Macaca mulatta: one gene and its partner. The protein of the gene in region 2 interacts with the protein of the main gene of each other region in a pairwise test. Links are inferred from orthologs where the notes say so. Each region holds a gene or a part of one and is shown on either strand. Other genes may lie near its edges.

What was found.
Region 1: the proteins of SEC23B (region 2) and HOXA3 interact in binary tests that used the Homo sapiens proteins (3 or more experiments, as listed by UniProt). The two-hybrid records come from large-scale screens. The link is inferred for Macaca mulatta from reciprocal best matches to the Homo sapiens genes SEC23B and HOXA3.

The regions. Positions count from the first base shown.
Region 1 is NC_133408.1:101,193,393-101,197,306, forward strand, and holds the start of HOXA3 (homeobox protein Hox-A3), read left to right. Parts: upstream 1-1,002; 5' UTR 1,003-3,645; intron 3,646-3,914. Other genes in the region: HOXA7 (homeobox protein Hox-A7), read left to right, coding at 689-1,002. UniProt on the Homo sapiens protein: Sequence-specific transcription factor which is part of a developmental regulatory system that provides cells with specific positional identities on the anterior-posterior axis.
Region 2 is NC_133415.1:65,485,701-65,489,514, forward strand, and holds part of SEC23B (protein transport protein Sec23B), read right to left. Parts: intron 3,627-3,814; 5' UTR 3,613-3,626; coding exon 3,392-3,612; intron 1,921-3,391; coding exon 1,863-1,920; intron 1-1,862. UniProt on the Homo sapiens protein: Component of the coat protein complex II (COPII) which promotes the formation of transport vesicles from the endoplasmic reticulum (ER).

The DNA of each region.
Region 1 (3,914 bases), on a different chromosome or scaffold from region 2:
ATCCTCGTAAATTTATTTAACTCCATTTGCCTTGGAATTTTAACATTAAGTTTGTTCGCTATTCTCTCTTTCTCCCTCTTCTGTCACCCTCCCTCCCTTTCTTCTCTTCCTCCTCCTTTTCCTTGCTGCCTGGCTTTTCTTCCTCAAAAGCTGGGAGAGCCAAGCCCTCCAAGGCCTCTCACCCGACCCTGTGCCAGGGGCCATTTCAAGATGGGGGCGAGGGAATGAGGCCAGAGGGTCGGGGTACCCTAGGAAGGTCCTGGGGATTGAGGTCTCAGGCTGCTGGGAAGGGTCGCCCACTTGCCTAGCAAGGTGGGGGAATGGCCGGGCTCATCTTTGAATGGCAAAAGTGCAGCTTTTCCCACTTGCCCACACTCTATATTTACAGTTTTCCTTTGTCAGGGGAAGCAGGACATTGTGGAAGCTTAGCCGGCTGGAAAAGGCGGTTGTAAAGTTGGGATTCTGTGCCTTTGCTAATTACAGAGCTGCCTGCGAGTCTGGCACTGCAGTTGGGGTCTTTCCCTAACACCCCTCCTCCTCCCCTAGCTCAGTTTGGGGCCTGGGGCAGAGGGGGATGCTCGCCTGGGACTAGGCCAGGAGGAAGGTGTGGGCTCTGGGACAGCAGCCTAACGAGTGCCCTGTCTACTTGTCTGTCCGTGTGTTCCTGTGTCTGCATGTCTGTTCTCAGGACCTGACAGGAAGCGGGGCCGCCAGACCTACACGCGCTACCAGACACTGGAGCTGGAGAAGGAGTTCCACTTCAACCGCTACCTGACGCGGCGCCGCCGCATTGAAATCGCCCACGCGCTCTGCCTCACCGAGCGCCAGATCAAGATCTGGTTCCAGAATCGCCGCATGAAGTGGAAGAAAGAGCATAAGGACGAAGGTCCGGCTGCCGCAGCAGCTCCCGAGGGCGCCGTGCCCTCTGCCGCCGCCACCGCTGCCGCGGACAAGGCTGACGAGGAGGACGATGATGAAGAAGAGGAAGACGAGGAGGAATGAGGGGCCGAGCCGGGGCCCTCGCTGCACCGGACAGTCGGAAAAGCGTCTTTAAGAGACTCACTGGTTTTATTTACAAAAATGGGGAAAATAAAAGAAAATGTAAAAAAAAAAAAAAAAACAAAGAAAAAAAAAAAAAAAAAAAACAACGAACAAACAAAACAGTCCCCAACCTGCACTCTACCCGGCCCCCATCACCTACTCCAGCTCCCAACTTTTGTGGACTGAGCGGCCGCAGCGACTGGGTCGCCTTGGATTCCCTCTGCCTCCGAGGACCCCAAAAGACACCCCAACCCCAGGTCAGCCGGCCCTGCGCTGGCGCGGCCAAAATACTACCTAGCACAGGCCTCTGCTCGAGGCACCCCCAAACTACCTATGTATCCAGCCCAGAGGGCCTCCATTCCCAGGAAGCCCCTATGTATCCCAGCACTGGCAGACACCCAGCACCACCCTCCCAGATCCGCAAGAACGTGAATCTCACTACTACCTACTCCCCTAAAACTACCTATTTTGTGCTGGCTGGCTTGCCTGCTACCTAGTGCCGACTGCTCCCAGACAAGGCCCCTGCTGCTTACAGCCCGCAGGTTTTGGGGTCCCTGAGGCTGCCCTGAGAATGTGCTGAGGTCCAGGATCAGGGTATTGGCATCTATTTAAATTGAAAAATAATATATTTATTCCAAAAAGCATTCTAAGTGCTGTACCCTAGAATCAATCCCTCCTTCTCTGGCTTGGCACCCAAAGTTCAGGCCCATCAACCCCCACTTCTGGAGGGGAATGTTCCTGAGCTGGCTGCAGATCTCTGGGTTACCTTCTGCTTAGTAGGACTGTGGAGATGCTCCCAGCTTCGCTGTCCTTTCCTCTGGCTCCTGTATCTTACTGTTCAGCTGTGTTAAATATGTACACCCTGACGTTTCCTATAATAGCAGATACTGTATATTTGAACAAGATTTTTTTGTTTGATCGTTTCTATAGTCTTGGAGTTCATTTGTAAGGCAGTGTCTTGACTTGGAAAGGATGTGTTAATGGGGTGACTTTGTAGCATGGTATGTTGTCTTGAGCTAACTGTAGTGGGTGGGGAGGTCCAATGCCCTCCACAATGCCCTTCATCTCCTGTGTTGTCCTGTATCCCCCTCAGCTCCATCCTGGGGTTCAGGGAAGGCACACTTCCCAGCCCAGCTGTGTTTTATGTAACTGAAAAATAAAGATGCTTGGTGACAAAGAAAAACGTGGACTACCTTATCCAGAGGAGACTGGGAAAGGGGAAGTGAGCATGGCTGGAGGGAAAGGGGCAGTGGGGAAGCAAAAGTGGGGTGGCTGTCCTTGTGATGGTCCAAGTGTTGGATGCTCATGTATTGGTGTCATGTATTTTTTAATGTATTTTTATGTGTGTATTTGTATGAGTATGTGCTTATTTTTCTGTTTATGTATTTCTGTGTGTGTGTTTTTACCTAATTTCACAATTGTGTATATTTTGGTGTCCATAATTGGGTGCATGTGTTTCTGTGTGTCCATAATTGCATGTCATTCTGTGCCCACAATAGAGTGTATGCCCTTCCCTGTGTGCATAATTGTACATGTGCCTTTATCCGTGTAGAGACGTTTGTCTGGTTTTTGTGTGCATCTTCTAGATCCCTTGAAAACGGAATCTCTGGCAGATACGTTATATTCTATGAAGCTCCCTAAAAATCTCCATAAATTCCATGAGGAAATTTCAAATCCACCCTTTCCTCTAAGGCTGCGCAGTGGGCTTGGAAAGGGGCATTATCCAGAGGCTGATTACGGATTTCGCATGCGCCCTGAACCCAGCCCCAGGCTAGGAAATGGGATTTAAGGCCCCCACCCCGCCTGCAGGCGAGGCAAGGGCGCCCCAGGGTCCCGCACTGCTGTAGGTGGCGCGGGGAGGGGCTAGGACCGCAGACCCTCGCTGGGCTGCGCAGCCTGGGCAGGGGCTGGGGCATCTGGGTGCAGGGAAGGGGCGAGGGGCGAAGGGCGAGGGATTGTGCGGGCAGCTCAGAGCATCCTGAGTTCCGCCTGCAAGACCTTGTCTCCAGTCTTCTGCCTGGGTTGGGTCCGCTTCTTATGGCTCTTTTAGTAAAACCGGGCCCAAAAGGGTCTGTAAAACCTGAGGCCCCAAGTCTGGGCGGCCTCGGTGGTAAGATGGCGCCGGTGTAAGAGCTGCCTCCTCTCAGTGATGGGGAAAGGGTCATAAATCCGTTGTTGTTTATGAAAATTTACAACTTTGCAATACAACTTTATGAGTTGTTCGGCCCTTCCATTGGCCGCTGTCGGTCATGTGGATGAGAACCGTGAACATGAACTTTTTTATAATTTCCCTTGCGAGAATAGAGCCGCATTCTTTTGCTCCGCTCCGTCCTGCCTGCTTCGGAGCTCTGCCTTCGAGCCTGGCTCGGCTGCGCTTTGTCCGGAGATGGCGAGCAAAGGGAAGCCCCGGCCAGGCCAGGCCTGGCGGCTCCCGCTGGAGATGAGGCGCGCCCCGTTCCCGGCGCCGCGGCGGCAGCTTTGCAACTCGCAACCTGGCTAATTTCCTGCGTCCTCTGGCACCAGGAAGGAGGACAATTCGTCTTTCGGGCTGCCCAAGCGACAGCTGTCACAGGCGCAGGAGCTTCTGAGAGTCGCCGTCTGAAGGTGAGACATGTGGGGAGGAGATAGGAGTAAAGGTGGTGAGGTGACAGCTGGCGGCAGCAGCGGTGGGAGAGGGCACCCAGGGAGGCTTTAAGAGGGGCACACTCCCCCTTACCATACTCACCCATTCACACTCGCCCCCATCACACACTACAGCACACACACGTCACACACACAGGCACACACACGCGCGCACACACGCACACACACCACTCCCTTTCTCTCCCCTCCCTGGCTCGCCTTGGCAATAAGTGCCCACCTTCCCTCGGCCC
Region 2 (3,814 bases):
AAATCTCTGGCTCTTTAGCCACTATGCTACCCTGCCTTAGAATTTTTATAATAAATTATACTAAACAGAGACATTAATCCCAAATGTAATAGAGAGCAGATATGCTTTTCAGATTTGTATAACTTCTTTTTTTTTTTTTGAGACGGAGTCTCGCTCTGTCAGCAGGCCGGAGTGCAGTGGCGCGATCTCGGCTCACTGCAAGCTCTGCCTCTTGGGTTCACGCCATTCTCCTGCCTCAGCCTCCCAAGTAGTTGGGACTAAGGCACTCGCCACTATGCCCGGCTAATTTTTTGTATTTTTAGTAGAGACGGGGTTTCACCATGTTAGCCAGGATGGTCTCGATCTCCTGACCTCGTGATCCACCCGCCTTGGCCTCCCAAAGTGCTAAGATTACAGGCGTGAGCCACCGCGCCCGGCCAAGATTTGTATATACTTCTGAATCTCTCATGAAGATACATTTTGAATGACATCTGCTTATAGTTTCTGAACCTATAGTCAGTCATCAATTGCACACTGTTCTCTTCATCACTAGACTTATGTGCTGCATCTGAGAATGAGTAATTGTAATGATGATCAAATATATGAACAAATGCATGTGAAGAGCTTAAGATCTGTTAGAACAGTGTACACTACAGTAGACACAATTTTTTTCTAACAACTTTATTAAGGTATAGTTTACAAAAAATTTCACTCGTTTTAAGTGCACAAGTCAAGTAGTTTTAGGAAATGTACAGTTGTGCAATAATTACCACAATCCAGTCTTAGAACACTTCCACTACACGTAGTTACTTTTTTTTTTCTTTTTTGAGATGGAGTCTCACCCTGTCGCCAGGCTGGAGTGCAATGGCTCAATCTCAGCTGACTGCAACCTCCACCTCCCGGGTTCAAGCAATTCTCCTGCCTCAGCCTCCCGAGCAGCTGGGATTACAGGGATGTGCCACCATGCCCAGCTAATTTTCTGGTTTTTTTTTTGAGACGGAGTCTTGCTCTGTCACCAGGCTGGAGTGCAGTGGCATGGATCTCGGCTCACTGCAACCTCCGCCTCCCAGGTTCAGGTGGATTCTCCTGCCTCGGCCTCCCAAGTAGCTTGGACTATAGGCACCCACCATGCCAGGCTAATTTTTGTATTTTTAGTAGAGAGGGGGTTTCACCATGTTGGCCGGGATGGTCTCGATCTCTTGACCTCGTGATCTACCTGCCTCGGCCTCCCAAAGTGCTGGGATTACAGGCGTAAGCCACCGCGCCTGGCCTAATTTTTGTATTTTTAGTAGAGATGGGGTTTCACCATGTTGGCCAAGATGATCTTGATCTCTTGACCTCGTGATCCACCCGCCTCAGCCTCCCAAAATGCTGGGATTACCAGCATGAGCCACCGTGCCTGGCCGCACAGTTATTTTTATAGAGAAGTCTCTCTTGTGACTTGTGAGCTCCTTCTAGTTTGGTACTTTAAAAATTTTTAAATCAAAAGAAGCTCAGCACTAATACCTGGACCCTAAAAGTTAGAAAGATCAGAAAACGAAAATTTAGTAATGTACACTATCCAATTAGAATATACCGAAGTCAAGAGAAATATGAACAACAGGTGCTTTCTTAGGGTCACAGATTCACTGCCTACAGAAAATGTGTAAAAGGGAATTCAATGAGCGCCCTGCCCCCAGTCCCAAGCAAATGACAAGGACTCAAGAAAACCATTCAACAGAATAAACCACAAATGTTCAAATTCAATATTGTGCTTACCAAAAGCTATCACCCTGAGTTCAGCAGAAACTGCTCACTGCCAGTGTAAACACAAATTCAACCTAACAACTTTTTTCATAATACAACTAAAACATATAACATATTTTGTTAAATAATTCACATACCTGATTTCTTTGAAAACAGAAATTACAGGCCCAAAGTTTTGCTCGATAATCAACCTGACTGTGAGAAAGATAAATATTGTTAGTAGGTACCACTTTTATTTTTAAGTTAGAAAGCGTTTATTTATAAATTTCAAGTTTAGTAAATCACACAAATAAATATTTCTATGTGTATGCGTAAGTAAGTACAAGTACGCAAAATGTTCACTGCAGTTAGAATTCTGGCTAAGTACACCAAAATTTCCATCAAATAGCCACAGTGAAGAAATACTAAATCTCTTTTTCTGTTTCTCGATTTCCTAATTTTTTTTTTTTTTTTTTTTTGAGACGGAGTCTCGCTCTGTCGCCCAGGCTGGAGTGCAGTGGCACCATCTCGGCTCACTGCAAGCTCCGCCTGCCGGGTTCACGCCATTCTCCTGTCTCAGCCTCCCGAGTAGCTGGGACTACAGGTGCCCGCCACCTCGCCCGGCTAGTTTTTTGTATTTTTTAGTAGAGACGGGGTTTCACCGTGTTAGCCAGGATGGTCTCAATCTCCTGACCTCGTGATCCGCCCGTCTCGGCCTCCCAAAGTGCTGGGATTACAGGCTTGAGCCACCGCGCCCGGCCGATTTCCTAATTTTTTAAATGTCATGATTTATATAAATTATAGGTTATTTCCCTTTTGCCTTTTATCTTAACATACTCTTCATGATTTTTTTCTAACATCTTTATTGTCCAGCTACGTGAAACTACTAAATCCCAACATTAAGAGCATATTTCACACACAGGAAAATGTTTCTAGATTTTAACCTGACTTAGACCACTTGAAGAAAAGTTGGGCAAGCACATTTCACTTCCTCGAACTGGTTCAAGATAACGCTTCAGGTACTTTTCCCCTTCTTTCTACATGGAGAAAATTAATAACCAGTGGCTACGATTTTACATCAGAGCAGCACTCATATATGGGCACATTAAATAAAAGCAATGGGAATGAAGTAAAAAATGTTCCCTCATATAAAAATGTTACGACACTCTCCACCTGTTTAAAAATCATTTCAAATAATGTCCACATTTAAAAGAAATAGGTCACTATATCAGGGACACACACACAAAAATTACACTTAACAAATTGTTAAGAGCTAAAATTTCTTCTGCCTGCTACTTCTCCCTGCCATATGGCATCCCTGTACCAGGGAAGCATGACAAGACAGTCTAAGCTTTTGAATTCTTTTGGGAAATTAAGAGGAATCAATAAAGTCTATAGTTAAGCCAAAAGCAAACTGATTATCAGCATAAAAAAAAAAAAAGTGAATTACAAATCCTCTCCCTCTACCTCATTCCTGTAAGATTCCAATTTTATCTGGAATTATCAGGCCAGGGAGATGTCTACAAATATTCACCACTTACTACTCACCACAAGAATCATTAAGAGTTTCACTACTGCTCATCACAAATTTGATGACTTGCCCAAATTTAATGATTTTTATGAGCATCACATAAAAGTCATAATATATTGTATTTATCATTTTTACCAGTTTCAAAAGAATCCATACCAAAGTGGGTTGAGAACAGCTTTACAAGTTGGCCTGCTGCAAAGCACAGGTTCATATTGTACAGGAGGTAGGTCTGGACGTTCTTTCAAAGGAGTAAGGAGACAAGCCAGGGGTACAACCATTCTTGTAGCCTCCAGCCGGCTGGAAGGCCACACATTCCAGCTAAAACGCACACCATCCCGTTCTTCATTCTGCTGGATGAACTCCAGGTATGTCGCCATAGTCTAAAAGGGAACTGAAGATAAAACGTTAATAACCTTAATGGTATGTGAAATTCTGAACTAAATGTCAAAAAAAGAAGATGGGCCACGTAACACAGTGTTACAGTGCTTCTTTTTTTTTTAATCCCAGCTTGGTCACTGCAGCCTCCACCTCCCAGGTTCAACGAATTCTCCTGCCTCAGCCTCCCAATTAGCTGGGATT